Linked DNA regions of Macaca fascicularis. The protein of the gene in region 2 interacts with the protein of the main gene of each other region in a pairwise test. Links are inferred from orthologs where the notes say so. Each region holds a gene or a part of one and is shown on either strand. Other genes may lie near its edges.

Region 1 (5,644 bases), on a different chromosome or scaffold from region 2:
ACTCCACCGCCCTCCTTCTCAGGCCTCAGACCAGGCCCCTGCGATGCTCCCAAAGCCTCATCCTGCTGTCGCTCCTCCCACTCGCTGCAGCGCTCAGCCTCATCCCAGGGAACCGGACTGCCTGTCTCCCCAGGCCAGGGCTTCATGAGCAAAGCCACTGCAGCACTGCACAGTCTATCTCTGAGCACAGCTGACTGGACAGGAGGACTGAACTGTCCACATTACCAAAGGCCAATGTATACAGAATGGTTTCTACTTTGCTTCAGTAGGGAACTGAAAACCAACTAAATCCAAGGTGCCTTTTCCAATGCCTGTGACTAAACTTCAAGCCTCACGGCCCCAACACCCGCTGATGGCACCATTTTAACTGAGTTCCATCCCGCAAGTTTCCCGACTGTCCACACTGACTCTCTCTACTCCTGTACACTAAAGAAACAAGCCAGAATAAATGGATAGAAGACAGTGTATGCGCATGCCTGTCCCAGCTACCCAGAAGGCTGAGGCATGAGAAACGCCTGAACCCGGGAGGCAGAGGTTGCAGTAAGCTGAGATCGCGCCACTGCACTCCAGCCTGGGAGAGAGAGACTCTAAAAAAGTAAATAAATAAATAAAAATAAATTAATCTAAAAAACTAAAAAGAGAGTATAAGCTACAAACCTCGGGAAGGAAATACCAGCATGACTTCGGAATAGTCAGACCTAATGGTGTATAAAGTTCTCCCAGCTCCTCTCCACCCACCTCCATCAATCCCACTCTCTCTCTAACCCCCAAGTTCTCTGTTCCTTCAGGTTCCCATAGAACATTTAGTAAACACTAGGGACATGAAAAAGCAGTGACATGGCCCTTGCCCCGGTGGCAATTAGACTAGGAAGGGAAAGTCGCAATTGCAAATTTGCCATGCTGACTAGGGCTGAGAGCAATCTGTGATGTCTGTAGTCGGACATCTGACTCACTTAAGGTAAAAACCAGTGAGTGAATTCTAAAGCAGGTAAAGCATTAACTGGTAGGACTGACTTCAGGAGAGGTAAGGGGGAGTTCTGAAAAGCAGTATGCACACAGGTGTGTGATCTCAGGATGCACGTGTCACCAGAGCTTGCAAGACCTTGTAGGAAATGTGGAGCAAGAGAGATGCATCAGATGTTTTTTGAATTGGACTCTGACCCCTTAACTAAAGATAAGGTTTCCGTGCTGAGGTGCGGTTTCTCCCCAACATGCCCTAGGCTTCAAGGGTAAAAGGTGCTGCAGGGAGTTAGGATGGCTGCTGTCCTAGTACAAGGTCTGCCTCACACAGGGAGAGCTTAGTCTCACGTTATCCTGCTGGGCAGGACAGCCCTGCACAGCCCCAACGTGGCAGAAAGCATCATACACGATGTGTCAGTTTGCCAGCAAGAAAAGCTGAATCCAACCCTCACCCCATTTGCTCAGCGGGTAATTTTTTGTGTTCCTGATGTTTTTGCAGAAGAAACCAGAAATTCTCTGTACTTGAGTTCCTTCAGGTGAACAGTTAGCCAGGAAACCAGTCCTCTTTGGAGGTTATTTTGGAGTCTCATCTTTTCCAGACATTTTATGATTAAAAAAAAAAAAAAAATTCTATATGGGTTTAAAAAAAAAAAAAAACTGGCTCTCACACAAATTGAAACTGCTCTCCAACATTTTGCCCGCTAATTTACCAATGTTTCACATTATATCCACACAAGACCCATGCGTTAACTATGCTTTTTCTTAATGACGTTGCTCGAATAAGCTATTACTAGTTTGCAGTAACTTCGTATAAAGCTTTCATTAGATTTCAAAAAAGGGAGAGCCAACTTTTCCCATATGTACAATCTGGAGAGAAATGACCCCTTCCCCACCCCACCCCCCACATAAAAGATAATAATCTCTGCTAACTAGTCAGTATTTCCTAAAGCAAATACTACAGATGATTCAAAAAATCCAGGCAAAGTCGAAGCAATATATTTTGCAACAATTATTCTTTCAATAAATGACTTGTAAATTCTCTCCCACACCATGTTAGACAGGTAAGCGACGTCACTTCCAAATTTCAACTGTTACATAGAAGATCCAGAATGTCAACACCACTTGCAATCTACACAAGGTTACAAACAACACATACACCTTCAATTCAAAATATCTGAATGAAAGGTTTCATCCCAATTATGGGAAAAAAACTTCCCATCTCACAGGCTGGTTAGAAACTGGTTCTGAATACAGCGTAACATACACAGCAATTCAGATCTTAAGAAACTCAACTGTTGCCAGTTAATACAGTAAGTAGAACTTTATTCAGCTTCACCCTTGTTTCATTTTTCCATATATGTAAGTGATCCTTTCTATACCTTTTAAGGTAAGTAATCACCTCAAGATAATCAGACATCTAAAGAAAACTTTGGTAAACTGGACTATAGTAATTGTATGAAAAAAAAATAGCTCTTAAGATTCCTAACTGCTACAATAGTGTTGATGGGATCAAATCCTAATTAGGATAGAGACCTAATTCATTTTTAAATGTGGGAAATATACAAGATTAAATGCTTAGTTTGATAAAAATAAAGGTTTCACCAACTGTTCTCCATTGCTGAGAAGCCCCCACACTGCCCCACTATGCGTATTCCTAGTATTTCATCCATGTCCTGCTCTGCTGTGCTGCCCTACAAAAAAATCCTTAGGAGGAAAAAAAAAAATAAACGGTGTAGTGTGTACTGCTTAAGAACTTAATGTCCAAGACATCTTTAAAGTCCGGGAGTACCTGAAAACCGTGGGTAAACATGGACCATTTTCCTTGCGTATCAACTTTACACTAAGCATCTAACATTCAAAAAGTGCAAAATTTGTACTTAACAGCAAGAATTCCCAAGCTCCTGCCATCCACTGATATTCCATCCTGTTTGAAGTTCTACATTAAAACATGATTACTTTTGCCATAAAACAAAAGTATTACCCTTAAAATATCTATTTCATATATACAAACCACATTATTTTTTATTCTGACAGGTCACAAATTTTGAGCAAGTTCTTCCCTAGGTGACCCTACCTAGCCAAAATGAAGGTGGAGCAAACATTGCTTTAGCTTAACTGCACTAATATTTACACCATGTGACCCTTCTAACCAAATAGAATACTGCTGATCTGCCATAATCAGTTTGTGCGACATGGCTCAAATGTACAAAAATAAAAAGTAGACATAGGGAGAAATTAACCCAATAGATTTCAAATTAAGCGATAATAGCAAGGCAATTCAAATATTAACATGGCATAAAATTTCCCTATTTTAGCGATTTCCAAATGCTATTTATAAACAAGGGATGAGTTCACTTGCTTAGATATTTGAAATACAACTTTATTCTGATTCTAAACGAAAAGGAATGGGAATGACAGTAACAAAACAAGATTTCACCACTGAATATTGTGATGTGACTGTAGCAGTCTTATATTTGAAACTCAAGGAATCAACTGCGTTCCAAAACAACTAAATATGCAGGTCCAAACAATGAAGGTATTTTTTAAACTGCCACATTCACTCCGAAGCCCACTCATCTCCTTCAGCATCCCACAGATGAAGCACATGTTCCGCTTAGCTAGATAATAATGAGGTGGCACACACGCTGCACCGCTGACATCACAGGACAGCTGCCTATAAAACTAGACTTCTGACGCTGGGCTCCAGCTCCATTCTCACAGGTCATCATCCTCATCCGGGAGAGCAGTTGTCTGAGCAACCTAGACGAAGAGATGAAAAAATGTTAACACTCCAGATCAAAACTGCCAGGAATATACAAGTCAAACGTTATAGCCTAGACAGCAAAGTGGCCGTAATACCTCTAAGTCGTGCTCATACTGCGCTGCCAAAGCTGGGTCCATGACAACTTCCGGTGGGGCAAGAGCAGGCATGGCAACAAATTCCAAGTTAGGGTCTCCAATGAGCTTCCTAGCGAGCCAGAGGAAGGGCTTTTCAAAGTTGTAGTTACTTTTGGCAGAAATGTCATAGTACTGTTTAAAAGAAAATAATTTTTACCTTTTAAAATTCATTAAGATGACGATTTTTCTAGGACATGGCAAGACAAGAAAATGTTAAGATTCTTGGCAAGGCATGGTGGCTCATGCCTGTAATCCCAGCACTTTGGGGGGGGGCTGAGGTGGGAGGATTGCCTGAGGCCAATAGTACAAGATCAGGCCTGGGCAACAGAGCAAGATCCCATTTCTACAAAAAAACAAATTAGGTGGGCATGGTCTTGAATGCCTGTGGTCCCAGCTACTCAGAAGGCTGAAGTGGGAGGACTGCTTGAGCCCAGGAGTTCAAGGCTGCAGTGAGCTATGTTCATGCCACTGCACTCCCGCCAGGGCAACAGGGCAAGACCCTGTCTCAAAAAACAAAGAATATATAAATACACACACGTATCTCAGTTGACCAACCCGGACAACAGTGAAACCCCATCTCTATCATTCTTTAAAAACAATAGTATAAAAAAAGACAAAATTATTTCCTGCCAGCACAGTGGCTCATGCCTGTAATCCCAGCACTTCAGGAGGCCGAGGCAAGTGGATCACTTAAGGTCAGGAGTTGGAGATCAGCCTGACCAACATGGTGAAACCCCGTCTCTACTAAAAAAAAAAAAAAAAAAAGTACAAAAATTAGCCAGGCGTGGTGGTACATGCCTTTAATCCAGCTACTAGGGGAGCTGAGACAGGAGAACTGCTTGAACCCGGGAGGCGGAGGTCGCAGTGAGCCCAGATTGCGTCACTGCACTCCAGCCTGGGGGACAGAGCGGGACTCCATCTTGGGAGAAAAAAAATCATTTCCATATATAATAGACACTGGTCAATTTCATGGTCTTACATACAATCTCCGCTAAGAGAAATAACTCAGGAAGTTTTAATTTTACACACCTGAAGATTCTTCTTTCGGTGGAAGACAATGGATTTCGCCTTCACTTTCCTGTCCTTAATGTCCACTTTGTTACCACACAACACAATGGGGATGTTTTCACACACTCGCACCAGATCTCTATGCCAGTTAGGCACGTTCTTGTAAGTAACTCTCGATGTTACGTCAAACATGATGATGGCACACTGGGCTGAAAGAAACAGTTGCGGTAATTAGTACACTCAGTTTACCACACAAGTGAAGAATGCTAAGAACCGCAGACTAGGATTCAACTATAGTCTTAGACCTCAACGAGGCACCTAGATCTCTCCCCTCACTTTCAAAGTCTCTTTCAATTCTAAGAACATTAACACAGAACTCTTCCTAAGAAAGATGAGCTGATTCTATCAAATCTCCCTGATAAACTTCACCATTAATACTCCCCTCATCCCCAAAACACTATCTGAAGTAATTAATGCCAAGTGAGATTCTGGAGAACCAAGCTGCCATATTCTGAGGGTAGGGCCTGGAAATAGTCTTCAGAAAGTCTTTAAATGGCCGACTATACTAGGAAATATCATTCCTGTCTTAAAAATTCCAAATAGGCCAAGCGATGTGGCTCATGCCTGTAATCCCAGCACTTTGAGAGGCTGAGGTGGGTGGATCACCTGAGCTCATGAGTTCCAGACCAGCATGGGCAACATGGTGAATCCCCATCCCTACAAAAAAAAATACAAAAATTAGTCAGGCATAGTGGCAGGTGCCTGTAGTCCCAGCTAC
Region 2 (5,811 bases):
CTGTAATTCCAGCTACTTGGGAGGTTGAGGCAGGAGAATCACTTGAACCCCTGGAGGTGGAGGTTGCAGTGAGCCGAGATCACACCACTGCACTCCAGCCTGGCGACAGAGCGAGACTCCGTCTCAAAAAAAAAAAAAGAAAAAAGAAAAACCAACCAAACAAAAAAAGACGGAGTCTTGCTCTATTGCCCAAGCTGGCCTTGAATTCCCAGTTTCAAGCAATCTTCCCAGCTTACCCTCCCAGAGCCCTGGAATTACAGGCATGAGCGACCACACTAGGCCAATCTTTGCTTAATTTAATATTATTTTCCTCTTTCTCTGATCACCTGGTCTGTTATTATTGCCCCAACCTTGTTTTCATTAAAGTATCCTGTCTTCACTTTCATTTCCTGGATGTTAAGCAACTCATACATCATCTAAATCTGGGAAAACAAAGGCTAAATTCAATTCCAGCTCAGGCAAGGGAGAAACACAAGCAGAAGTTCAGCTTTTTGTGTTTTTGTTTTTGTTTTCAGACACAGTCTCTTTCTGTCGCTGAGGCTGGAGTATAGCAGCTCGATCTTGGCTCACTGCAACCTCTGCCTCCCAGGTTCAAGCTATTCTCCTGCCTCAGCCTCCTGAGTGGCTGGGACTACCGGCACTTGCCACCACACCCGGCTAATTTTTTTATTTTTAGTAGAGATGTGATTTCGCCATGTTGGCCAGGCTGGTCTTGAACCCCTAACTTCAGGTGATCCACCTGCCTTGTGGATCTCCCAAAGTGCTGGGACTACAGGCGTGAGCCACTGCGCTTGACCTCATTATGTCTTCTGCCTCAGTATAATCCATATTTTGAAATACATATTTTGAAATACATAATATTTTATAATAATTTGTTTTTGAGACAGGGTCTCTCTCTGTCACCAGGCACTGTGGCAAGTTTCTTGCAAACATTATCTCATTTGATCCTCTCCCCAACTCTAGGAAGAAGATACAATTATTATCATCCTTGTTTTACAGAATTGGAAACCAAGGCACAGAGAGGTAAAGGGACCCACCTAAGGTCACACGGAAAGTGGTGGGTCAGGGGATTGAACCGAGGGCATCTGGCTCCAGACCCTGAACTCTCCAACCCTCTGCCGCCCTCCTCCTAGGTGAGGGAGATTACATTACTGGGGACCCTGTTTCAGGATATGAAGGGGTTTTCCAAGATGTTTCTCATAGAAAAAAAAAAAGGGTGTGGCTAATGCCCATAATCCCAGCACTTTGGGAGGCTGAGGCAGGCAGATCACTTGAGATCACAAGTTCGACACCAGCCTGGCCAACATGGTGAAACCCCATCTCTACTAAAAATACAAAAATTACCCAGGCGTGGTGGCAGGTGCCTATAATCCCAGCTACTGGGGAGGCTGAGCCAGGAGAATTGCTTAAACCCAGGAGGAGGAGATTGCAGTGAGCCGAGATCATACCACTGCACTCCAGACAGGCGACAGAGACTCCATCTCAAAAAAAAAAAAAAAAAGAAGAAAACAAGATGTTGAGTGTGACTGGGTGGAAGCCGCTGACTTGTCCCTGGCACAAGTGTGCTGATATCCCCTCCCCCTCCTTCCTCACATCCTGCATCTCAGCGAGAATTGGCGTGCTGGGGTTAGCTGTGTGGCCATCACCCCAGGCCCAGGTGAAGCCCTCGATCAGGTGAGGCCATGATCCCAAGGAGTGTTTAAGCTCAGATCCTGCCTCTTCCCTGCTTTCTGCCGAGAAGCGGGACCTCCTCTGTGGAAAATATCCAGCTGGGCGAGCCTGGGAGGCAGGAGGTGAGTGGGGCCGGACTCAGGGACCAACTCTTCCCGTCTCATGACTGTGTTTACTGGGCTGGATTTTGAGAAGGGGCCAGATTGCATCAGACAGGGCCTAATGGGCTGGAGCCAGACTGTGGTCTGAGGAGGAGACACAGCCTTATAAGCTGAGGGAGTGGACTGGGAGTGGAGAGGCACGGGGCCAGGAAAGCAGAGAAAGACAAAGCGTTAGGAGAAGAAGACAGGCAGGGAGGACAAGCCAGGCACGATGGCCACCTTCCCACCAGCAACCAGCGCCCCCCAGCAGCCCCGAGGCCCAGAGGACGAGGACCCCAGCCTGGATGAATCTGACCTCTACAGCCTGGCCCATTCCTACCTGGGTAAGGCCCACTCGGCCATCTCCACGGTCCTTCCTCCTCTCCCGAAATCAGGACCCCTCCATAGACTTCGCACCCTCTCCTTTCCTCTCCTCTCCTTTCCTTTCCTCTTCGTTTCTTTCTTTCTTTCTTTTTTTTTTTTTTTTTTGAGAGAGTCACTCTGTCACCCAGGCTGGAGTGCAGCTGTGTGATCACAACTCACCGCAGCCCCAAACTCCTGGGCTCGAGTGATCCTCCTGCTTCAGTCTCCCGAGTAGCTGGAACTTCAGGTGTGCACCACCTGTAGTGGTGAGGTGGGGTCTCACTATGTTGCCCAGGCTGATGTCAAATTCCTGGGCTCAAGCAGTTCTCCTGTCTTGGCCTCCTAAAGCACTGAGATTACAGGAGTGAGCCACCCTGCCCAGCCCACTCACCGTTTTCTAGCCAACGTGTTCCTTGGACCCTCACGTCACCCCTGTCTAGTCCCTTATCCCAAGAGTGCTGTGTTACTCAGCCTGGGATCTCACACACATCTGGGGTCCCACATTCCACAGAGGGGAAGCAGCAGAATTCCCCCTGCTCTTCCCATCCCCGCAACTCCAACCCCCTGCCTCTCCTCTGACAGGGCGTCTCATCGTGCCTTTGCCCACTTCACCTCTGCCTCCTGCCTTGGTTACAGGAGGTGGAGGCCGGAAAGGTCGCACCAAGAGAGAAGCTGCTGCCAACACCAACCGCCCCAGCCCTGGCGGGCACGAGAGGAAACTGGTGACCAAGCTGCAGAATTCAGAGAGGAAGAAGCGAGGGGCACGACGCTGAGACAGAGCTGGAGGTAAGGAGTCGGGGGGCCCAGAGAGCTCAAGGTGGCGCCTCTGCCATGAAGGACAGCCGGAAGGTGCGCGGTTGGGTGGGGAGGAGGGATCAGACAACTGTTATCTCAATGCAGAATAAAATGAGACACACGTTTGGCTGTTTTCTAGCGGCCAGAGCAAAGGGGAACACAGAACCTTTCCAATTGGAGGGAAATTTGACTTACAGAGACAGAAACTGAGGCTGGAGAGGGTGGGTCCTTCCCTGTAGTCACAAATCAATTAAGTGGGAGAGGCAGAATTAGAACCCAGATCTCTGTCCCTTTCATCACCTGCTTTTCCTCGCCCCCTAGATGAGGCCGGACCATGGACACTACACCCAGCAATGGAGACAGGACTGCGGAGGAAGGAAGAACCAAGACAGGATCCAGGCCAGCTTGCCACACCCCCCACCCCTGGGACTTATCCCCGCTGACTGAGTCTCTGAGGGGCTACCAGGAAAGCACCTCCAACCCCAGCAAAAGTGCAAGATGGGGAGTGAGAGGAAGGGAATGGAGAGGCAGAGCCAGGAAGATACCCCCAGAAAAGAAAGCTACAGAAGAAGCTGGGGCTCCTCTAGGGCAGCAGCACCAATAAATAGACGCGCACGGCAGCCACAGCTTGGGTGTGTTTTCATCCTTGCTCTTTCTGTGTTTTTGTTCGGGCACGTATGTGCCTGCCTGTGCCTGCACATGCATGAGCCCGGGAGAGCATCTTTGGTGTGTATTAGTGTTTGGTATATGTATCTGGGGCAGGGAGTATTCCTGCTCTTACAGGGGTCTACGCTGTGAATATGGCTTTTGGTTCGTTTGTTTTTGCTTGCATATATTTTAGTGCATACATTTTTCTGTGGGCTCCTACATAGTGGAAAACAATTTCTTCTGCTTTTTTGCGATACTGCCCATGAAACACGGCCCTCCCCAGCGCCTGTTTTTGTTGATTATGTCCTGTTCATAGACGGGAATGCTACTTATGGATGCCATCTAAAAGATGGAGAAAACTGAGATTTAAAATATTAAAGGCCAGGGCCAGGCGCAGTGGCTCATGCCTGTAATCTCAACACTTTGGGAGGCTGAGGCAGGCGGATCACAAGGTCAGGAGTTTGAGAATAGCCTGACCAACATGGTGAAACCCCGTCTCTCTAAAAATACCAAAAATTAGCCAAGCATGGTGGTGCACGCCTGTAATCCCAGTTACTCAGGAGGCTGAGGCAGTAGAATCACTTGAACCTGGGAGGTGGAAGTTGCAGTGAGCCGAGATCATGCCATTGCACCCCAGCCTGGGTGACAGAAGGATATTCTGTCTCAAAAAAAAAAAAAAAAAAAACTAAAGTCCGGGAGCAGTGGCTCATGCCTGAAATCACAGCACTTTAGGAGGCTGAGGTGGGAGGATCACCTGAGCCTAGGAGTTCGAGACCAGCCTGAGCATCATAGCAAGACCTCATCTCTACACATTTTTTTGTTGTTTTTTTTTTTTTTTTTTTTTTTTGATTCAGAGTCTCACTCTGTCGCTTAGGCTGGAGTGTAGTGGCATGATCTCGGCTCACTGCAACCTCCGCCTCCTGGGTTCAAGCCACTCTCCTGCCTCAGCCTCCTGAGTAGCTGGGACTACAGGCACCTGCCATCACGCCTGGCTAATTTTTGTATTTTTAGTAGAAACGGGGTTTCACCATGTTGGCCAGGATAGTTTCAATCTCCTGATCTCGTGATCTACCCGCCTCGGCCTCCCAAGGTGCTGGGATTACGGGTGTGAGCCACCACGCCCAGCCAATTTTTGTATTTTTAGTAGAGATGGGGTTTCACCATGTTGGCCAGGCTGGTCTCGAACTCCTGACCTCCAATGATCTGCCCACCTCAGCCTCCCAGCCTTTGGGGGGCCAAGGAGGGAGGACTGCTTGAGGCCAGGAGTTCAAGACCAGTCTGGGCAACATACCAAGACTCTGTCTGTACAAAAATTTAAAAATTATCAAAGCATGGTGGCTCATGCCTATAGTCCTAGCTGCCCAGAGGCTGATCTTGAACCCAGGTGTTGGAGGCGGCAGTGAGCCATGATGGTGCCACTGCAGTCCAGTCTGAGCAACAGAGTGAAACCATGTATTGAAAAAGAGCGAGAGAGAGAGAGAGAGAGAGAAAGAAAGAGAAAGAGAGAGAGAGAAGGAAGGAAAGGAAAGGAAAGGAGAAGGAAGGAAGGAAGGAAGGAAGGAAGGAAGGAAGGAAGGAAGGAAGGAAGGAAGGAAGGAAGGAAGGAAGGAAGGAAAGGGAGGGAGGGAGGGAGGGAGAGAGTGCGCACGGTGGCTCACACCTGTAATCACACCAGCACTTTGGGAGGCCGAAGCAGGCAGATCACCTGAGATCAGTAGTTTGAGATCAGCCTGACCAATATGGAGAAACCCTGTCTCTACTAAAAATACAAAAGTAGCTGAACGTGGTGGTACATGCCTGTAATCCCAGCTACTTGGGAGGCTGAGGCAGGAGAATCGCTTGAACCTGGGAGGCAGAAGTTGCAGTGAGCCGAGATCGCGCATTGCGCTCCAGCCTGGGCAACAAGAGCAAAACTCCATCTCAAAAAAAAAAAAAAAAAAAAAGAGAGAGAGAGAGAAGCAGGGAAAGAAAGAGGAAGGAAGGGAGGGAGGGAAGGAAATATTGAGGGATTTGCCCTTGCTCACTCAGGGCTCATATTCAGGGATCTTATTGTCTTCGGATGTGAAGTGGGTCCCCAGGCCAAGGGGGCTGTGGGACAGGGTTCTGGGAAGTGAGATGGGGGAGGGAGATTCTTATCCAGTGCTATGTCTCAGGACCAGAGTTGTAGAAAAATATGGGGCAAACAAGAAGTGTG
Region 3 (6,053 bases), on a different chromosome or scaffold from region 2:
CTTGATATTTTCAGTTGCCCCCACAACTAACTGGTGAATGCTATCAATCTCAGCTTCCTGTGGAAGAAAAGATAAATACAAGTTGAGTATCCTTTATCCAAAAACCTGAAATCCAAAATGCTCCCTCGAGCATTTCCCTTGAGTATCATGTCGGCACTCAGAGAGTTTCCAACAAGCGTTTCCTTTGAGTGTCGTGTCGGCACTCAGAAACTTTCAGATTTTGGAGCACTTAGGATTTCACGTTTTGGATTTTAAGTTTAGGGATGCTTGACCTATACAGCAACTTCCTCCTCCCCGAAGCATATATCATGACAAGAACAGCAGCCGTCAGCAAGGGCAAACGGCTTTACTTGCACAGCCACAAACCCTCACAGCACCCCAAGAAGTAGGTATTACCCCTATTTTCTGAAAGGGAAACTCACGGCTCAGAGAAGTTTACTAACTTGACCAAAGTCATGTCACATAGCAACCAAGTGGCAGGACTGAGATGAGACTTTTTTTTTTTTTTGAGACAGGGCTTAAATGATCCTCCCACTTCAGCCTCCCAAGTAGCTGGGAGTATGGGCATGCGCCACCACACCTAGCTAAATCTTAAAACTTTCTTGTAGAGATGGGGGTCTCCCTATGTTGCCCAGGCTGGTCTTGAACTCTTGAGCTCATGCCATGCTCCCGCCTTGGTCTCCCAAAGTGCTGGGATTACAGGCGTGAGTCACCGTGCAGGGCTGAGACCCCATCTTGTTGCAGTGCTCCTTCCACTGCACCTACCATCCCTCCTGTGCCACTTGCTGATGACAGGGACAAAAACCTAAGAGCTACTGTTTGTGGAGCAGCCACCATATGCCAGAGGTTTCCCTTCTAGTCTCTCATTTCTTTCTGAAGTCCACAGAAGTAAGCTTTAACATATATGTGTTTCGAAATACATATGCTAGCTTCAAAAACAGTGCTTTGTGTTTTACAATTATATCTTTAAAAAAACAGGCTAAATTTTAAAATCAGAATAGGATGCAGAATGCTTACATAAAACGTTTACTCCAAACAAAGCCTCGGAAAGCTTGAGGAGTGTGGGATCCTGGTCTAACAAGGGGGCGTCTGGCCCCGCAGGAGCAGCAACGGTGCTAGACGGCCTTATGAGCAGGAGTGCCTGCTTCTCTCCTCCTTTTGGCGGTGGTGAAGCTGCTTCCTAACACGGTCGGGTGGAATGAATGCTAGTGTGGGTTTTTAGAGAAACCTGACACATTTTAGGGAGGAAGGCAGCCTCTGGCCTCTATTCCCAGCAATGAATATTACCGAGATGGCTTTGCCCTGTCATCACCCCATTTTAGAGAATCTCGAAGTGTGAGCTAAGTGACCACTGCCAAGGTTCCAATGAGAGAATCAATATGAACTACAATGTAACACTGATGAAAAAAACAAGAAACACATATCGTTCCTCAGGACTTAGAAACTCCTGGTGGGCCGGGCCTGGTGGCTCATGCCTGTAATCCCAGCACTTTGGGAGGCCGAGACGGGTGGATCACCTGAAGTCAGGAGTTCGGGATCAGCCTGGCCAAGATGGTGAAACCCCGTCTCTACTAAACATACCAAAATTAGCCAGGCGTGGTGGCATGCCTGTAATCCCAGCTACTCGGGAGGCTGACTGAGGCAGGAGAATCGCTTGAACCCAGGAGGAGGTTGCAGTGAGCCAAGATCACAACACCACTCCAGCCTGGGTGACACAGCGAGACTCCGTCTCCAAAAAAAATAAAAAAAAATAAAAAAAGAAACTCCTGGTGAGCCAAGGCAAGGCTCTGCCTGTGCTCTGCACACCCCTTCCAGGCCCCCTGCAGCCGCTGGGAGGTTTGAAGCAGGGTAGTGTTATTCAAAAGAGCAACTCCTATGAACCCGAACTTCCAAACTGCTGTTAGACTTAATGTACCTCATTTACAATGATTTCACTCTGGCTGTGTGGTTTATGGAAAGTCATTTTGAGAGAAGTATTTTAAGTTAAGTAGTTTAACATACTAAGACAAAACGTTCCCATTGTCTTTGGGTGCTAAAAAGAAAAGGGCAAATTTATTAGGTCACTAAAAGTTTTGCCAGTTATTGGCTGGAAGAATTTCAGAAAATTGACTTGAAAAGAACAATCCTATTTCCCATGCAGGCACCATCCCTGAGGCGGCATGGACCTCGCACTGTGAGAGGCCTGGGCCTGAGCTCCTGTAACTCTACTGACAGAAAAGCAACTGCCCGTCAGCATCGTTCTGTAGTTCTCTCTCAAATGGAGAACAACCCTGCAGGGGTCACTCCAATCTATAGATGGAAACTGTTGCCTGGCCGGGCTACCTAGCTCACCCAGCACATCCAGAACCCTGACTGCCAGGCCTGGACTCTCCTCCCACATGCCACTGCATGCGCCACCACACGGCGTGGTCAGTGGGGCCAGTGGATCCCCTGTGGGGAGCTCCTCCTCCGTCACACGTGTGCAGAGGCAGCTCTGGGTAGTGAGAGCTTTGCCCTGAGGAGCTCTGCGCACGCACACCTGCTAGCAACACATGGCTCTGCTCCTGGCTGCGCAGAGCAGCAGCCTTTGGGAAAATGTCTCTCAAGTACATTCCCCTTTAAGTTAAAACGTACAGCTACTTTGTTTTTGTTTTTGTTTTTACCTGTTGCAAAACCTTTTCCGTGAATATCTCTTGGAGTCTGGAAATCTCAACCACTCTCCCTTCGATTTGCCTTCATAAAAAGAAGAATAGATTACATATTAACTATTAGTACTTGGTAATCTAACAGGACTGTTACACATTTCTAAAGAAATCCTGTCTTCTACATGAAGGTGGGAGAGACGGGGGAGCATACCATGTTGGCTGGGGGAAGAGATTGGAGAGGAAGGCAAACTCTCCTTACTGGGTCACCTTCCCTGTCTCCCGGTGTAGCCTAGCACGCTGGGCTTTTTGGAAGTCCACTCGACCATGCCAACTGAGCCCCAGTCCCAAGAGGTGGGTGTGGGCAGTGCCCTTTGCATTCTGTGTCACTGGTCAAGGACCGGGGAGGGTCTGGTTATGCCCCAGTTACAGAAAGCAGTCTCCAGTAAGTTCTCTGCCTAGCCTTGTCACCATGGTAACACATGGTGGGGATTCAGAAGGTCAGAATATGCTGATGATCCTGCTTTGTTACTGCTCAGCGGGTTAAAGAAAAAAGTGTATTTACCCTCAAACCAACTCCCTGTTCCAAGAAAAAAGCTCCTCTGATTCATTTAGAAAATGCCATGTCTTGGTTTGGCAATGGAGTGTTCTGTCGGATCGGAAACACTTGGGCTAGCCATCTTCCTGGTGTCAGGGGCAGCCTGGGCTACCCTGGGGGACAGGTGGGGGCCCATCTATTTACAAACGGAAGCTGGCCCAGGCTGAAGTTAACTGCTGTTCCAGCACAAAGCAGCGACAGGAAGTGGCAGGAGGCGAAAAGTGGTGGGAGCTGAGCTCCTGGCCAGGTGGAAGCAGACACGAATCCCAACAGTGTCACAGTGGCAGGAGGGCAGGGGAGGAGATGGGGGAAGAAAAGCCAGTGAGTATCTGGGCATGGGGGAGTAGCGGGGACGGACAGTGAAAGGTAGGCTGTTGGAGGAGGACTAGGAGGTCCATCTGAGGGCAGAAGGCGAAGAGCCCCTGGGAGGCTGACACCTACACTGAGAAAATCCTCAGGCTGTGTGAGTGCAGCATCAGGATTGATTTGATTTGGGGGACATGTCCACAATACAACAGGCTCTGCAAAGTCCCGGGCCTTACTTTCAGCATGCTGCAGGCCTTCCCACAGAAACTAGAGTTCAGTGGGTGCACGTGTGGGTGACCAAGGCCTTGCCTTCTGCATTCCTGACCCCCTGGGGGGTACAGGAGCAGGCAGACCCCAGTGGAGCCATTTGCAAAAGAGGGCTTCCCTTGGTCAGCTGTCCTTCACGAGGGCCCCATTTCATTTCAGAGTCGCTGCATGGAAACAGCCCAAATGGTGGTGGAAATTACACGCAGGTAATCTGCAGTCACTCCTGCATCTCTTGGGGTAGAAAGCATCTGGGCCCCCCGCAGCAGTGGCAGCAGGCGGGAGGTAACCCACAGGCCCACAGGCTGAGGGAGTTGTAGATTCAGGCCACATGCCCACCCCAGCCCTGTCAAAATGGCTGAGGGGGGCTGCACCAGCCCAGGGGCCCCATGTGGATGCCTGGGCACCAAGGTAAATAACGTTCCTAGTTCCTGGAAAGTTGTAAAGCAGGCTCTCAGCTCACAGAGGAGCCACAAACATACCTCACTTCATCAAACAAGCTGTTCATTTCACCAATGAGTCGCTGATTTTCCTGTTCAAACTGCGAGGAAACAAACACACTCAGGATGACATCATACTGAACTCAGGCAAGAGTCTAACAAGAATGCGGACCTGCGCTCCAGGAACCACTGGCAAAGCCCCCATTTCCAGCTGCAGCAACATGGTGGCCGGTGCCGGATGACCGAGAGCATTAGTGTGAACAACGCCCCTGCTTTCAGGAGAAACTTTTAAAACACAGCTGTGCTGCCTGGTAATCGACTTTTCCATCTCAACCACTGCACTCCAGGGGTGCAAGCTGACTGCTATGGCTGTAGCTGTATCTACTTATGCGCTCTCCCCTGGGCTCCCACGGCCAGCTTCCTGCCTCTGGTACCATTATTAAAAAAATTCTTTTGTTGTTGTTTTCTCTCATGAAGTATACTGAAGGACTACACATATTTTTTAATATGGAGAAGGATCTGGTGTGGGGAGGGTCTGGAGAGGAAGAGGGGGTCGGCAGCTTGGCCAATCTGCCCCTGGGCCCCTCTGACCTCAGAGCCATGCCCCTGGCCACTCCACTGCTCAACAGGGACAGAGGCCCAGAGCCAGACCAGCATGTTTCCCAGTGCTCAGGCTAGGTGAGGCCAGGTGCCCTGACACCAGGGATACATGGGAGCTTCTTGGAGCTGAGTGAGCTTGGCACAGATAGTTGCTCTCTCAGCCATTCTTGCCAGCTTGATATGGGCTAAAGAAAAGGATGGAAGCTCCTGAAACTCAGCACAGAGAATGGACAGGAACAAGGAACAGCTCCTTGCCCTCACCGCAGGCCCCCACAGCCCTGTCCTTGTGGGTCCATTCAACTCCCGGAATGTGCAGGGAGTCCGGGGCATCCTGCATTTCCTCCATGGCCCCACTTCTCCAGGAGACCTACCCGGGCCCCTAAGCTCAAACTTATTTCTCATATTCCTATTCCTGGCCTACCATTTTCTGAAAATATCTTCGGATAGTAGTCCCTTTCTGCCTTGTAATAAACTGCACATCCCAAACTTCCTGTGTCACTCTGAGCTTCCTGAGGGTGGGAACTGTGTGGAATGTAACTTTGCAAAGGCATTCCAGTTATTCTTTCTTTCATATCAATTAAAGCTGCCATCAAATCACAAATGTTTTCCGAGCATTCTGTAACAGGGGTTGGAGGAATAAATACAAGCAAGCCCCCAGAGGCTCCGAATCGACTGAAGATCGGGCTTATCACTTGCTTAGTAAACCAAAAATACAAGGGAAACAATGGTTATGGGAGGCAGCTGACCACCATGGGCTATGTTGGCGCTTCCTGCGCTGGGATGCACAGACTCATGCAACAGCCCGACCTTGTTCCCGTTGTCCTAGGGCGGAAATGAGTTGCAGGGCCTCCCCAGCAGTCTCCTTCCCACCCAGAACCCCTCCCCCCCAAGTACCCCAGCTGTGCTCTATGCAGGTGCTCTTCACACATGCGCCCCTTCCTAAGTCCACCAGTTTTGCCCCCACACATGCACTTGCTGTATTCAGCCCTTCCCCTACTGTCCACGTTCTACCCTCATCATTTCTCACTTGCCTCCAGCCTGTTATCCAATCCTTGGTCAAAGTGATCTCAAGTGCTGGTCATGCCAGAATGCCTCATGCTGGCCTTGCCCGTTGCCCCTACAGATCAGGTCTAAGGCACACTGTTATCCATGACCTGGCCACGTGACATCTCCCACCTCAGCTCTGCTCTGCACAGGCTAGCTTCCTGCCTGGCTGCAGAACTC
Region 4 (6,053 bases), on a different chromosome or scaffold from region 2:
CTGGGCAACATAGCGAGATCCCATCTCAAAAAAAAAATTTTAAATTTAAAAATATGTATTTTACAGTGACTATAAAGAATATCCCAGGTCGGGCATGGTGACTCATGTCTGTAATCCCAGTACTCTGGGAGGCTGAGGCAGGCAGATCACTTGAGGTCAGGAGTTTGAGAACAGCCTGGCCAACATGGCGAAACCCTGTCTCTACTAAAAATACAAAAATTAGTTGTGTATAGTGGTACATGCCTGTAATCCCAGTTACTCACGAGGCTAAGGCACAAGAATCACTTGAACTCAGGAGGAGGAGGTTTCAGTGAGCTGAGATCACGCCACTGCACTCCAGCCTGGGCAACGGAGTGAGACTCCATCTCAAAAAAAAAAAAGAATATCCTCACCTGTAACCTAAAGATTAACCAGTAACATTCAAAGTCAGTATTCCTTAATACAAAAAGGCCTGGGCCCATTTCCTGGGCATTCTCTAGCTCTTTGACTCAGGCTGAGGCCCTCTTACAGTCTTTGGACAATTCTTTCTACTGCTCTCTTTGCTACAGATTCTGCTCTCTGGGGGACAGGGTAACAGTAGTCATTTTTTAGTCACTGTAATTCTACTGATTAGCCAGGTTTAAGAATGCTTGAAGTAGTATTTTCTGTCTCTTCCCATTTGAGAAGTTACTAGTATGCTTGCGAGGAAGAACATGTTCAAACAAAATGTTCCTTTCAAGCACACTAGTAACTTTCCCAAATGGGAAGAGACAGAAAATATTCTCCCTTGAAAGGAACAAAATATTTCTCATCTACTTGCAAGGTCATACCTGTTGGCATAAAGTGTTCAGGTAAGAAAGAGATAACCTTCTCTCTATATAATCCTCTGAAATTCTATTGGCCAGGCAAAAATCAACATCACATGAAAACAAACAGAAGCCCTCCAAAATCTTTAGGGCTTTACTGAAGTAACCCCTGCACTTACTGGGCCAGCTGATGCCATGCTGCCAAGATCAACCCAGGAAGGGACACATGCACTGATCCCTTCAAAGACAGCTAGCTGTGTGCTATCTCTTACCTGGATCAAGGCCCTTGCTCTCCAAAATTGCCAAACAGTTGTCCCGAAACTTCTCCAGCAGCTCTACCTTTTGGGTCAGGTCCTTCAGCTCTCCCTGTTGGAGCACCGCACAGACAGATCAGGAACTGTCCCAATCCCTAGGGGTGGTCGCCCTTTCTTGCCCTTGCTCTTGGACAGCCATAGCAAAAGCCTGTTTTGTTTTTTTTTTTCTGCCCTTGGGCATTTGTGCATTAACAAGCTTGCTCACCCAAGGGGCCATCCATCAGGATTCCATGTGCATTGCCCAGTGGCAGCTGGTAACAGAGCTCTGGTGGGTCTCTTACCTGAGTTTCAGTCAACTTCTGGTGCAACTGCTTGTTGACGGCTTCTAAGAGCTGGTTCTTGTCCTTGAGCTCGTCCTCTGATTTTTGCTTACTCAGTGGTTTGTAGCTGTAATAACAGTTGTACTTACATGAAAAGACAAAAGGGTTAAGAGCATGGCCTACACCAGGCGCAGTAGCTCACGCCTGTAATCCCAGCACTTTGGGAGGCTGAGGTGGGCAGATCACCTGAGGTCAAGAGTTCAAGACCAGCCTGACCAACATGGAGAAACCCTGTCTCTACTACAAATACAAAAATTAGCTGGGCGTGGTGGCGCATGCCTGTAATCCCAGTTATTTGGGAGGTTGAGGCAAGAGAATCGCTTGAACCTAGGAGGTGGAGGCTGTGTGAGCTGAGATTGCACCATTGCACTCCAGCCTGGGCAACAAGAGCAAAACTCCGTCTCAAAAAAAAAAAAAAAAAAAAAAATGGCCTACAGAGTTACACAAACACGTCCTGTTCCTATCCTGGCTATTTACATAGTGGTTATGACCTTCAGTGAGTTGCATAAGCTCCCTGAAGCCCTGTTTCCTCATTTTGGCAATTAGGACAATACCTACATCTCATAGTATTATTATTAATAAGAGAGAAAACCCATGTGCATTTCTTAGCCCAGTAGCTGGGCTGATATGTAATAAAATAATATAATGTTTATCATCTAATAAACTCTAATATCACCAATATTAGAGTTTTTTCTTTTTTCTTTTTTTTTTTTTTTTGAGATGGAGTCTCGCTCTGTCGCCCAGGCTGGAGTGCAGTGGCGCTATCTGGGCTCACTGCAAACTCCGCCTCCCGGGTTGACGCCATTCTCCTACCTCAGCCTCCCAAGTAGCTGGGACTACAGGCACCTGTCACCACACTCGGCTAATTTTTTGTATTTTTAGTAGAGACGGGGTTTCACTATGTTAGCCAGGATGGTCTCGATCTCCTGACCTTGTGATCTGCCCGCTTCAGCCTCCCAAAGTGCTGGGGTTACAGGCGTCAGCCACTGCGCCGGGCCTAGAGTTTTTTCTTAACGTTCTCAGTCTTTTTTGTTTTGTTTTGTTTTTTTGAGATGGAGTCTCCCACTGTCGCCCAGGCTGGAGTGCAGTGGCCAGATCTCAGCTCACTGCAAGCTCCGCCTCCTGGGTTTCCGCCATTCTCCTGCCTCAGCCTCCGGAGTAGCTGGGACTACAGGCGCCCGCCACCTCGCCCGGCTAGTTTTTTGTACTTTTTAGTAGAGACGGGGTTTCACCGTGTTAGCCAGGATGGTCTCAATCTCCTGACCTCGTGATCCGCCCGTCCTGGCCTCCCAAAGTGCTGGGATTAAGGCTTGAGCCACCGCGCCTGGCCTCAGTCTTTATTGCTAGTATTTTGTCTTCAAAACTTTTTTATTTTTTTAAGTCAGAGTCTCGCTCTGTCTCCTAGGCTGGAGTGCAATGATGTGATCTTGGCTCACTGCAACCTCTGTCTCTGGGAATGAAGTGATTCTCCCGCCTCAGCCTCCTGAGTAGCTGGGATTATAGACATGCGCCACCACGCCCGGCTAATTTTTGTATTTTTAGTAGAGATGGGGTCTCATCATGTTTCCCAGGCTGGACTCGAACTCCTAACCTCAGGTTATCCACCAGCCTTGGCCTCCCAAAGTGTTGAGATTATAGGCATGAGCCACTGTGCCCTGCTATCTTCAAAACTCTTAGGATAAGCCCAAATAATAGATCTGGAACTAAAACCTATTTGTACAGACTTTTCAGCGTATTATTTCTATTTCTGATAGTGCAAAACTTCGAAGCTAGCCTCAAAGATGAGAGATGAACCTTCTCTCCCGGATTTCACCACCACCAGAATCTTCATCTCGAGATCACTAACTACAGGCAGCCCTTCCTCTCCTGAAGGCTTCACCCTCCTGTTGATGGGCCATAGCTAAGTGTGATTTCTGATCAACAGTGGTCCTGGCGTAGAGTCCAAAAAGCTCTTGCTTGAGACTCAAGATAGTAGCACCACTGATTCTTGCACTGACAATGGTTCTTACACCTAGCTGTGCCTCACCCCTGAAAATTCCACGCAGGTTCCTGAGGTGGAACCCAGACCCTAACACAGTAAACAAGTCCCACGAGTGATTCTGATGCAGAAACAAGGATTGAGATCCACTACCCTAGAACAGTGGCCAAGTTGATTTACCCTGATGCTCACCCTTTTCTGACATTCCTTCTGGTGGTGGTATCAGTAGCTTTCATTTGCCTAGGAGGGCAGAAACAAAGAAATGAATCAGAGACTCATAGTACTGTTAAGTGTGCAGTGAACAGGCAGAACAAAGAACTTGAGTTTCTGAGGAAAGAACCAGGGATGACATACAAGGCAAATGGCACAAGCTTGAGAGCTCTGAGGGACTATGCATTATTGTTTCAGCACAGACTATTGAAAAGGCTTATTAGTAGCACCGGGGCATGACCCCGACCACCCCAACATCCTGACAGAGCTGCTCCTCTCAAGATGGCGTGGCTATCTCATGTCAACCTCACTCACCTGGGAACTGAATGCTGGCTGGGGACACACACACACACTACGCTAGGGCTGGACTGTGGTCAGACCAGCAACCTAGGGTAACAACTAGTCCCCACCCCACATGACTACCCCTCAGGGTTGGCGTATGACTACAGTGCTGCCATTTGTATCCTCAGAGCAAGCGATGAAAGAGGAAAGAACACCTCTCATAGCCCTGGCTGTGTCTCTTCAGAAAGATCAACCCAGAGGGTTCTGGCAAAGAGCTCAGGAATGCTGCATAGCTCTGGGCCACTGACTGAAGGCCAGTTGTTCAGGAGCCTTGTATTCCCCAAAATCCTGTTTTCTAATTCTTTGTATTGATCAATTTCTAGGAAGATGTTCTAACTGGATACTAATGATGCGTTCTCACCCATTCTCTCGTCTCAGTTTGGTGATTTTTGTAACATCATTCTCTGGACCTCCTGAATGAAGCTGTTTGGAAACATCGACTTCTTTGGACCTAACAGGTAACAGACTCTTAGAAGTGGCCCGAGTTTGTGTGTCTGCAAAGGAAAACGAGAGGTAAAACTTCTGGCATCGTGAGCCGACAGCTGCAACCCTATAACAAACAGAGCCCCATTCTAAGTTGTCATAAATCTTTACTGTATTTTAAAAAATATTATTAATTTTTTGAGACAGAGTCTCGCTCTGTGGCCCAGGCTGGAGTACAGTGGTGCGATCTTGGCTCACTGCAACCTCTGCCTCTTGGGTTCAAGAGATTCTCCTGCCTCAGCCTCCTGAGTAGCTGGACTACAGGCACCTAAAATATGTTTTAAAATAAAATTTAAAAAATAGAGACAGGGTTTCACTATGTTGCCCAGCCTGGCCTCGAACTCCTGGGTTCAAGCAATCCTCCTGCTGTGGCCTCCCAGGCGTGAGCCACCACGCCTGGCCAAATCTTTATTTTCATTCTGGCAAATTTCAACATGTGATATTAATTCAAAAGAATAAAACTTCCAGGCTAATTGGCAATAAAAACCAAAATTCTTTAAATGGACAGTACAGTGTGTTTGAGGGTAGCCAAAAGTTTCGTTGAACTGAAAGGTGGAGGCTGTAAAAGTGAACATGGAGATGGACACCAGCAGAGAGCAGGGTGGAAGTAAAACACGGCTGAATCCTTGTACCATCTCGTTAAGCAACTCCAAGCACGCTGCACACTCTCCTAAGGCATGACTGAGCTGCTCTGAGTTTTTTTAAATTGTTACTTCGTTCTTTTTCCCAGAATATCTTCCTAACCACTCTAAGACATCTTTGTGTCCCCATCACCTAGAAGAATATTTGGCATATGAACAGGGGTTCAATAACTGCTTGTTGAATAAATCAAACACTTCACAGTTGCATAGGTTGTTTCACAGACCATCTCTAAACTACCTGTCTGGTCCCTTCCTCTTCCATGCTGACTGCCTCTACCACCAGCTCTTTCGTTTACCCTTCGTTAAGTTTAGAGTTTCGCTATTAGGCATTCTAATCTGATCTTCTTGCCAGATAACCAGAGAAATGGCCCTGCCATAACACTCTTCTTCCCCAAAGGTGAGAATTTTCCTTCATCCTTGTGCCAGCTCCCCAACCACACAGTCCATCATTCATGTTCTACAGCAAATTCAAGTAACTTATCTGGAGTTAAAAGCACCCCCACCCTCACACGCAGGCTTTTCTGGACTCATTCTCACTTTGTTCACTGTAAAATGGCCCCTTTAAGCTTGACCTAACTTAAGAGCCATTACAATCAAATCAAATTGAAGAAATGCGGTACAAATGAGGTATTAAAAGGGTTCTTTTTGAGGTGTCTGTCTGAAGTAAAAAGTAACCTTGGAGAAATATCATCTTCTCCTCTCTCAAGTATTAGCAAGTTATAAACAACAAATCTACTCCATGTAAAATGGAATTAACAGTCGATTGATCAAAATTAACACTCTTCATTGACTAGAATTGGTTCCAATAATTCGTATTTGCTAAAACCTAAGGATTGCAATGTAGAAAAACTTAGTAGGATTTCACAAAGCTGTCTCCTAAAAATGGGAGACACTGGGAGGGGAACTGGATGGCTGGTGTCAAGGAAGGGAAGGAAACTTGTTTATCATTGTATATGGTTTTCCAACTTTTTTTTTTTACA
Region 5 (6,581 bases), about 50 Mb from region 2:
AGGCGTAAGGGCTTTAACAATGACTACTAAGTTAAATGAAAAAAACCTTAAGAATGTTCATGAATAAAATAGTCATGTGCTGCAAAATGATGTTTGGTCAATGATGGAACCCATATATGATGGTGGTCCCATAAGATTACAATACTGCACTTTTACTGTAACTTTTGTATATCTAGATATGTTTAGATACACAGATACCACTGTTACAACTGCCTACAGTATTTAGTACAGTAGCATGCCGTACAGGTTTGTAGCCTACGAACATCAGGCTGTACCATACAGCCTAGGTGTGTGGTAGGCTACCCCATCCAGGTTTGTGTAGGTGAACTCTATGATGCTCTCACAATGATGTAATCACCTAACAATGCATGTTTCAGAATGTATCCCTGTTGTTAAGTACCACATGACTGTGATAACATCAAGCACTGATGATAGTGTGAAGAAACTGCACTCAAACATTGTTGGTAGGAAAGTAAATGGTACAGCCACTGTGGAAAACAGCGTGGCAGTTTCTTAGCAAACTAAACATACACTTACCATATGACCCAGCAACTGTCCACGCAAAGTGAGCGCATGTAAAATGGTGAAATCTGAGTAAGCTCGCTGTCAATGTCCTGGCTCTTTATTGTATTCTAGTGTTATAAAATGTTGCCGCTGGGGGAGGTGGCATGAAGGATGCACGGGATATCCCTGTATACTTTTTGCAACTTCCTGTGAATCTATCACTATTTTAAATAAAAAGTAAAAGAAAACAAGTTTGCAGACTAGTGTTTTGCAGTCCTCATCCATTTTACCTGTGCCTATATCCTCATCCCAGGAAAGAACTGTAGTTTCTGGAACGTGCACACTATATTTCCCGGTCCTTTTGCCTTTGCGACTTAACAACATGTTTCCATTTTCTGTCTGGCAAAATATTTACTCTTTTAGGCCCACAGCATGTGTCCTTTGGTAAGACTTCCCTGGCTGGCATTTGGCTTGGCTCTTCCCAGGCCTGCTCCTATAAAGAAGCACCTTCCCAAGACAGCCTGATAAACACTGGATTATTGTTCACCATCATGCTGCTTTGGTGTCTCCCAAGACTATGATTCTGAATAGACCATGACTCTTGTTCATCTTGTATCATTGGTACTTAGGCGGCACCCTTGGTACACAAGAGCTCACTCAATGAAGGTTCTCTGAATGTAAATGAACCTAGACTTGTCTTATTTTTCCAGACTCTCTTTCTGGGATGGTTTTTTTTAAGTGCATATACCTCATTTCATCACTAATATGCCTCGTGGTAAAACTCATCAATACCACCCAACTGCCCTTATTTCTCCTATTTAGTCATGTACCTATTCCTTTGGTATACAAAATAGCCATATACATATGTTCTGTACACACAGAAAGGATAGAACTCCCTGTGAATATGAATCAAGCACCTCCAGACTTAGGTAGAAGTTCGATTCTCCTACTCTAGGGCATTTCAGAACACACTCCAAAACCAGTGGGGACTCACAGCAGGCAACAGCACAATATGGTCCTCAGGCTAGATGTCCGTTGTTGTTGATACAGCCATGGTCATCCTGTCCCAAACAACACTGGCAGAGCTGAGTAGTTGTAACAGAGACTGTCTGGCTCATAAGCCCAAAATATTTATTATATGGTCTTTTACAGAAAGCTTGCCAAGCCCTGTTCTAAAAGTCTAACAGTACTAAAATCACAAATAAGCACCCTTTCTACAACCATTCCATACTGGAAGACCTTCCATCCACATCTTTCTTTTTCTGCTTCCCATCGGGATCATCCTGCAATGGCTGACCAAGTCAGAGGCCTTCAAGTGAGTCAGGATTAAATCCTCAACCCTCTCATACTTGCCCTAAAAAGTGGTCCCCAGGGATGGGTTTCCTGGAAGACAATTTTTCCATGGGTGGTGGAGAGGGGAGGGGTAGATGGTTTAGGGATGATTCAAGTGCATTACATTTATTGCGCACTTTGTTTCTATTATTATAATATGTAACGAAATAATTATACAACTCACCATAATGTAGAATCAGTGGAAGCCCTGAGCTTGTTTTCCTGAAACTAGACAGTCTCATCTGTGTGTGATGGGAGACAACGACAGATCATCAGGTATTAGATTCTCATAAGTAGAGCTCAAGGTAGATCCTTCATAGGTGCAGTTCACGGTAGGGTTTTTGATCCTAGGAGAATCTAGGATTCTGCCACTGATCTGGCAGGAGGCGGAGCTCAGGTGGTAATGCAAGCTATGGGGAGCAGCTGTAAATATAGATGAAGCTTCACTCGCTTGCTGCCTGCTGCTCGCCTCCTGTTGAGCAGCCCGTTCCTAACAGGTCATGGACTGGTGCTGCTCCGTGGCCTAGTGGTTGGGGACCCATGTTATATAGGACTTAGCTCTGGTTAAGGCACCCTAAGTGCAGCTGTTCCATGCCTTCTCACAGTATACTCTTTTCTATCAGTATAGATAGTGTCTCCTGCTATCTTGCCAGTAAGTTTTTTCTCATCAATGACCAAAACTGCTAAACCAAATACAGAATCTGGGTGATCTTTTTCCTTCTCCTTTGCTTCCAATGTCCAGTTGCGTCTCCCCATTTGGTGGGAGTGGACACTTGTTTTAAGTTAATTTCTTCCTTCTTAGTTGCAACTCAGATATTTAGTTTGAGCCTGAGTCACCCAGTACATCATCTGGCTTATTCCAAGAGCTAAAACAACTGCTAAAATCTTTTCAATATCTGCTTGGTCAGTTCACTCCACTTCTCTGAAATTAATGTTATTACAAATCATAAAATCAAAAGCAAACTCTGTTCAGTAAAGATTCAAATTTTCCTAATATGCATGAAAGTGCTTGACAAACTCTAAGTTAGATGTAATTTGTCCTGCATCCTCATTCACCCATTCATTCCTAATTCCATCCTAGCTCAACTCCATTCAAATCTTGCCCATGTAATGTTTACTCTCTTTTTTTTTTGAGACAGGGTCTCCCTCTGTCACCCAGGCTGGAGTGCAGTGGCACCATCTCAGCTCTCTGCAGCCTCGATCTCCCAGGCTCAAGTGATCCTCCCACTTCAGCCTCCCAAATAGCTGGGACTACAGGTGCGTGCCACAAGGCCCAACGAATATTTTGTATCTTTTGTAGAGATGAGGTTTCACCATGTTGCCCAGGCTGGTCTTAAAACACCTGGGCTTAAGCGATTTGTCTACCTCAGCCTCTCAAAGTGCTGAGATTACAGGCATGAACCACTGCGAATGGCCTCTCTCTCCAATCTTTCAAAACATTATGAACGCTTCCTTCCTTCTTTTGGAAATTCGACCTCTTTAAACATGACATGTAACAGTTTGCTACCCTCTATAAGTAGTGCTCAGTGACAGGCATCACAGAGTAAGTAACACAGAGCCAGGGTTCTGGAGCAAGACTGCCTGAGTTCCCGTCCTGTCTACACTACTTATTAGCTGTGCGACTTTGAGTAAGTTACTTATTTCTGTTTCAGTTGCCTTAACTGTAAAAAGAGAGTTATTGCCTGTAGTCACCTCAAAGTGTCATTATGTGAATTGCACAGGTTAATATACGCAAACCCCTTAAAACATTGTCTAGTACTATAAATAGTTGCTATTTTTTTATACTGTTCCCCGTGTCAATAGCTTTCCATTGCTCACAAAATAAAGGAAAATATCCTTAATCTGGCCTCAAATTTCCTGCACGTTGTGACCACTGCCTACTCTGCAACCCCATTTCTTAGTACTTGCCTTCCAGACATACTGAATTACCTCTCATTCTTGGAAATCTCCATGGTTTTCTTTTTCTTTCTTGCCTCGTGGACTTCTGAACTCAGGTTTCTCCTAGTTTAGGACGCTGTGCCTCCCACCCTCCCAGGAACCTAAAGGGACCACTACCCCGCGAGAAGCTGGGTGAGTTCCCAGGGCTCCGGCGCTTCTACCCTCACTGCACTTGGTAAGCTGTACCCTGACTGCTTGCTCCTGTGTATGCGAGCTCCCATCCACCCGTGGGCCTCCTGAGAGTCGGCCTAATTCGTAACCCGGTTCCCAGTAAACAGTGCAGACCAGGCGCTAAGTGAATGAATGAGCACGAGAGCTGGAAGCCCTCTGAGGCCCCTCTGGTGTCCCTCGTTCGCCCGCCGCCTCGGCCCTGGCCAGGTCGGAACGATCGGGTGCCCCTACCGCCCGGCATGGCTCTCTCAGTGTCCCCGCACCTTCATGCGCAGCAGATTCTTGGACAACTTTGTCTTCCGCTCGGCCGCCATGGTGGCTTCCGCCCAGCGCCGCACTCCGGCCGCGAGCCTCACTGCACATGCGCGGAGCCGCGTTCGCAGCTGCGTCGCTCTCGTAAAGCGCGCCGCCCCGCTCCGCCCCGCGGCCCCGCCGCTGCGTGTCGCGCGCCGGCGCGGCCACTCAGCGGGCGCTCTGGTGACTGAGAGGCTGGGGTAAGCGCGCGGCGCGGTGGCGCGGGGATGAGCGCGGCAGATCCCAAAAAGGCCAAAGTCAGAGGAGGATCCAGAGCCTGGCTTCCCCGAGCCGGGGGCCGCCTTCCCGGGACGTCGGCCTGGCCCCCTCGGGGACCCATCCTCGCTCAGGGACTCCCTTCCTCAGAGACTCCCTTCAGACTCAGTAGTCCTCGCCAGCCTCACAGGTTTGCGTCACGCGTGCCACCCGCCTGGGTCTGGTTACCCACGTGTATTGTTTTCCTAACGTGGATGGCGGGCTTCCTGTGTTCTGGGTCCCTGTGCAGGGGCCAGGTCGTTTGCTCTTCACCAGGACCCTACGAGTTGCTGCTTTCCTTACAGCAGCCCTGAGTCCCGGGGAGCGTGGCGGGGGCCACCCCAGGCGGGCTGGCTTCATCCCCGGGCTGCTGCCGGTGCGTGTCTGGCCGAGTGATCCCTGCTAAACAGAAGAATCTGAAGAAACTGCAAGGGATGGAGGCAGGCATGGGTGCCAAAGACACCTGAATGAGAAGAAGGCTTGGTTTTGATCTAAAGAATTGAAAAGACCAGCCTGGGCAACATAGTGAGACCCTATCTCTACCAAAAAAAAAAAAAAAAAAAATAGGTGGGTGTGGTGGCACGGACCTGTGGTCTCCATTACTTGGGAGGCTGAGGCTGGAAAATCACTGGAACCCGGGAGGTCGAGGCTGCAGTGAGCTGAGATCCCACCACTGGACACCACCTTGGGCTATAGAGCAAGCCTTTGTTTCAAAAACAAAACAAAAAAGAATTTTAAAAACCACTGAAAATAGAGTGGCATTCATACCCTGGTGTTTAATGCTCTGGGTACCAACTAAACACGTTTTCAAAAATCATTCCCAGGTCCGACGCTTTGGAACACCCTCAAGCTAATAGCATTTCAGCTGATAGCATAGATTCTATGTCAGATTCTTGACCTGGTCACCTTATGGGTAATTAGTTCGCTTAATCTCCATAAGAACCGGAAAGAAGGTATTGTCATCGTGTTGTTAGGGATTCTGAGACACAGAGCGGGTAAGGGACTTGGTGGAATTCACACAGCTAATCCATGTTAGAGCTGAAATTCAAACACCGATTTGGATGTTAAAAGCCCTTGAGGTTTTCCCAGGAGTAAATAAAATCATTGTAATGTACTAAGTGGCTACAGAATCTTATTCACTTGTGACTGTGTGTGAGATGCCGGGGTATAATAGCGTGTAAAAACACCTATCCTCATCTTTCCTGAAGCTGATATTCTGGACATAAGTAAGTGGTGACTGCCGTGAAATAGAGGAAACAGTGTTGTGACCCCTAGAGTAACGTTTAGGGTTACTTTAGACAAGGTGGTCTGGAATGGCCCTTGTCAGATGGTGGTGCTAAGGCTTGAAAGTTGAGAAAAACCTGTTGTATGAAGAGTTGGAGGTAGTGTGCTCCGAAGACAGCAGCAACGGTAAAGGTCCTGAAATATGAACAAGACAAAGTCCCTGGTGTTATAAAGTTTAACAAGTGGAAACAGTAGAGGTTAATCACAAGCCTCATTGCATCCCCCAAAATTCATATGTTGAAGTTCCAACTCCCAGTGCCTCAGAATGTGAGTGTATTTGGAGACAGAACCTTTAAAGAGGTGATTAAAACAAGACCCTGGCTGGGCGCGGTGGCTCACGCCTGTAATCCCAGCACTTTGGGAGGCCTAGGCGGACGGATCACGAGGTCAGGAGATCGAGACCATCCTGGCGAACACGGTGAAACCCCGTGTCTACTGAAAATACAAAAAAATTAGCCAGGCGTGATGGCGGGCGCCTGTAGTCCCAGCTTCTAGGGTGGCTGAGGCAGGAGAATGGCGATAACCCGGGAGGCGGCGGGGCTTGCAGTGAGCGGAGATCGCGCCACTGCACTCCAGCCTGGGCGACAGAGCGAGACTCCGTCTCAAAAACAAAACAAAACAAAAACCAAAAACAAGACCCTTAGGGTGAGCCCTAATCCAGTCTGACTGATGTCTTCATAAGAAGAGGAAATTTGGACACAGACACCAAGATTGTGTTTGCATAAAGGAAAGACTATCTGAAAGCCAATAAATAAATAAATTAAAAAAAAAATGCCTCAGGAGAAACCAAACCTGCCAACACC

What was found.
Region 1: the proteins of NUPR1 (region 2) and RAN interact in a two-hybrid assay, tested with the Homo sapiens proteins (2 studies listed by BioGRID and IntAct). The link is inferred for Macaca fascicularis from reciprocal best matches to the Homo sapiens genes NUPR1 and RAN.
Region 3: the proteins of NUPR1 (region 2) and STX18 interact in a two-hybrid assay, tested with the Homo sapiens proteins (2 studies listed by BioGRID and IntAct). The link is inferred for Macaca fascicularis from reciprocal best matches to the Homo sapiens genes NUPR1 and STX18.
Region 4: the proteins of NUPR1 (region 2) and KNSTRN interact in a two-hybrid assay, tested with the Homo sapiens proteins (2 studies listed by BioGRID and IntAct). The link is inferred for Macaca fascicularis from reciprocal best matches to the Homo sapiens genes NUPR1 and KNSTRN.
Region 5: the proteins of NUPR1 (region 2) and MPHOSPH6 interact in a two-hybrid assay, tested with the Homo sapiens proteins (2 studies listed by BioGRID and IntAct). The link is inferred for Macaca fascicularis from reciprocal best matches to the Homo sapiens genes NUPR1 and MPHOSPH6.

The regions. Positions count from the first base shown.
Region 1 is NC_088385.1:137,992,298-137,997,941, reverse strand, and holds the end of RAN (GTP-binding nuclear protein Ran), read right to left. Parts: intron 5,076-5,644; coding exon 4,888-5,075; intron 3,991-4,887; coding exon 3,820-3,990; intron 3,721-3,819; coding exon 3,676-3,720; 3' UTR 1,935-3,675; downstream 1-1,934. UniProt on the Homo sapiens protein: GTPase involved in nucleocytoplasmic transport, participating both to the import and the export from the nucleus of proteins and RNAs. Switches between a cytoplasmic GDP- and a nuclear GTP-bound state by nucleotide exchange and GTP hydrolysis.
Region 2 is NC_088394.1:27,792,059-27,797,869, reverse strand, and holds NUPR1 (nuclear protein 1), read left to right. Parts: upstream 1-1,963; 5' UTR 1,964-2,043; coding exon 2,044-2,155; intron 2,156-2,756; coding exon 2,757-2,947; 3' UTR 2,948-2,960; intron 2,961-3,290; 3' UTR 3,291-3,595; downstream 3,596-5,811. UniProt on the Homo sapiens protein: Transcription regulator that converts stress signals into a program of gene expression that empowers cells with resistance to the stress induced by a change in their microenvironment.
Region 3 is NC_088379.1:8,632,274-8,638,326, reverse strand, and holds part of STX18 (syntaxin-18), read right to left. Parts: intron 4,331-6,053; coding exon 4,272-4,330; intron 2,713-4,271; coding exon 2,643-2,712; intron 58-2,642; coding exon 1-57. UniProt on the Homo sapiens protein: Syntaxin that may be involved in targeting and fusion of Golgi-derived retrograde transport vesicles with the ER.
Region 4 is NC_088381.1:16,881,695-16,887,747, reverse strand, and holds part of KNSTRN (small kinetochore-associated protein), read right to left. Parts: intron 4,444-6,053; coding exon 4,311-4,443; intron 3,638-4,310; coding exon 3,590-3,637; intron 1,487-3,589; coding exon 1,381-1,486; intron 1,152-1,380; coding exon 1,058-1,151; intron 366-1,057; coding exon of another isoform or gene 322-365; exon of another isoform or gene 251-321; intron 1-250. UniProt on the Homo sapiens protein: Essential component of the mitotic spindle required for faithful chromosome segregation and progression into anaphase.
Region 5 is NC_088394.1:78,049,498-78,056,078, forward strand, and holds the start of MPHOSPH6 (M-phase phosphoprotein 6), read right to left. Parts: upstream 4,311-6,581; 5' UTR 4,309-4,310; coding exon 4,177-4,308; intron 3,888-4,176; exon of another isoform or gene 3,766-3,887; intron 2,079-3,765; exon of another isoform or gene 2,024-2,078; coding exon of another isoform or gene 2,021-2,023; intron 1-2,020. UniProt on the Homo sapiens protein: RNA-binding protein that associates with the RNA exosome complex. Involved in the 3'-processing of the 7S pre-RNA to the mature 5.8S rRNA and play a role in recruiting the RNA exosome complex to pre-rRNA; this function may include C1D.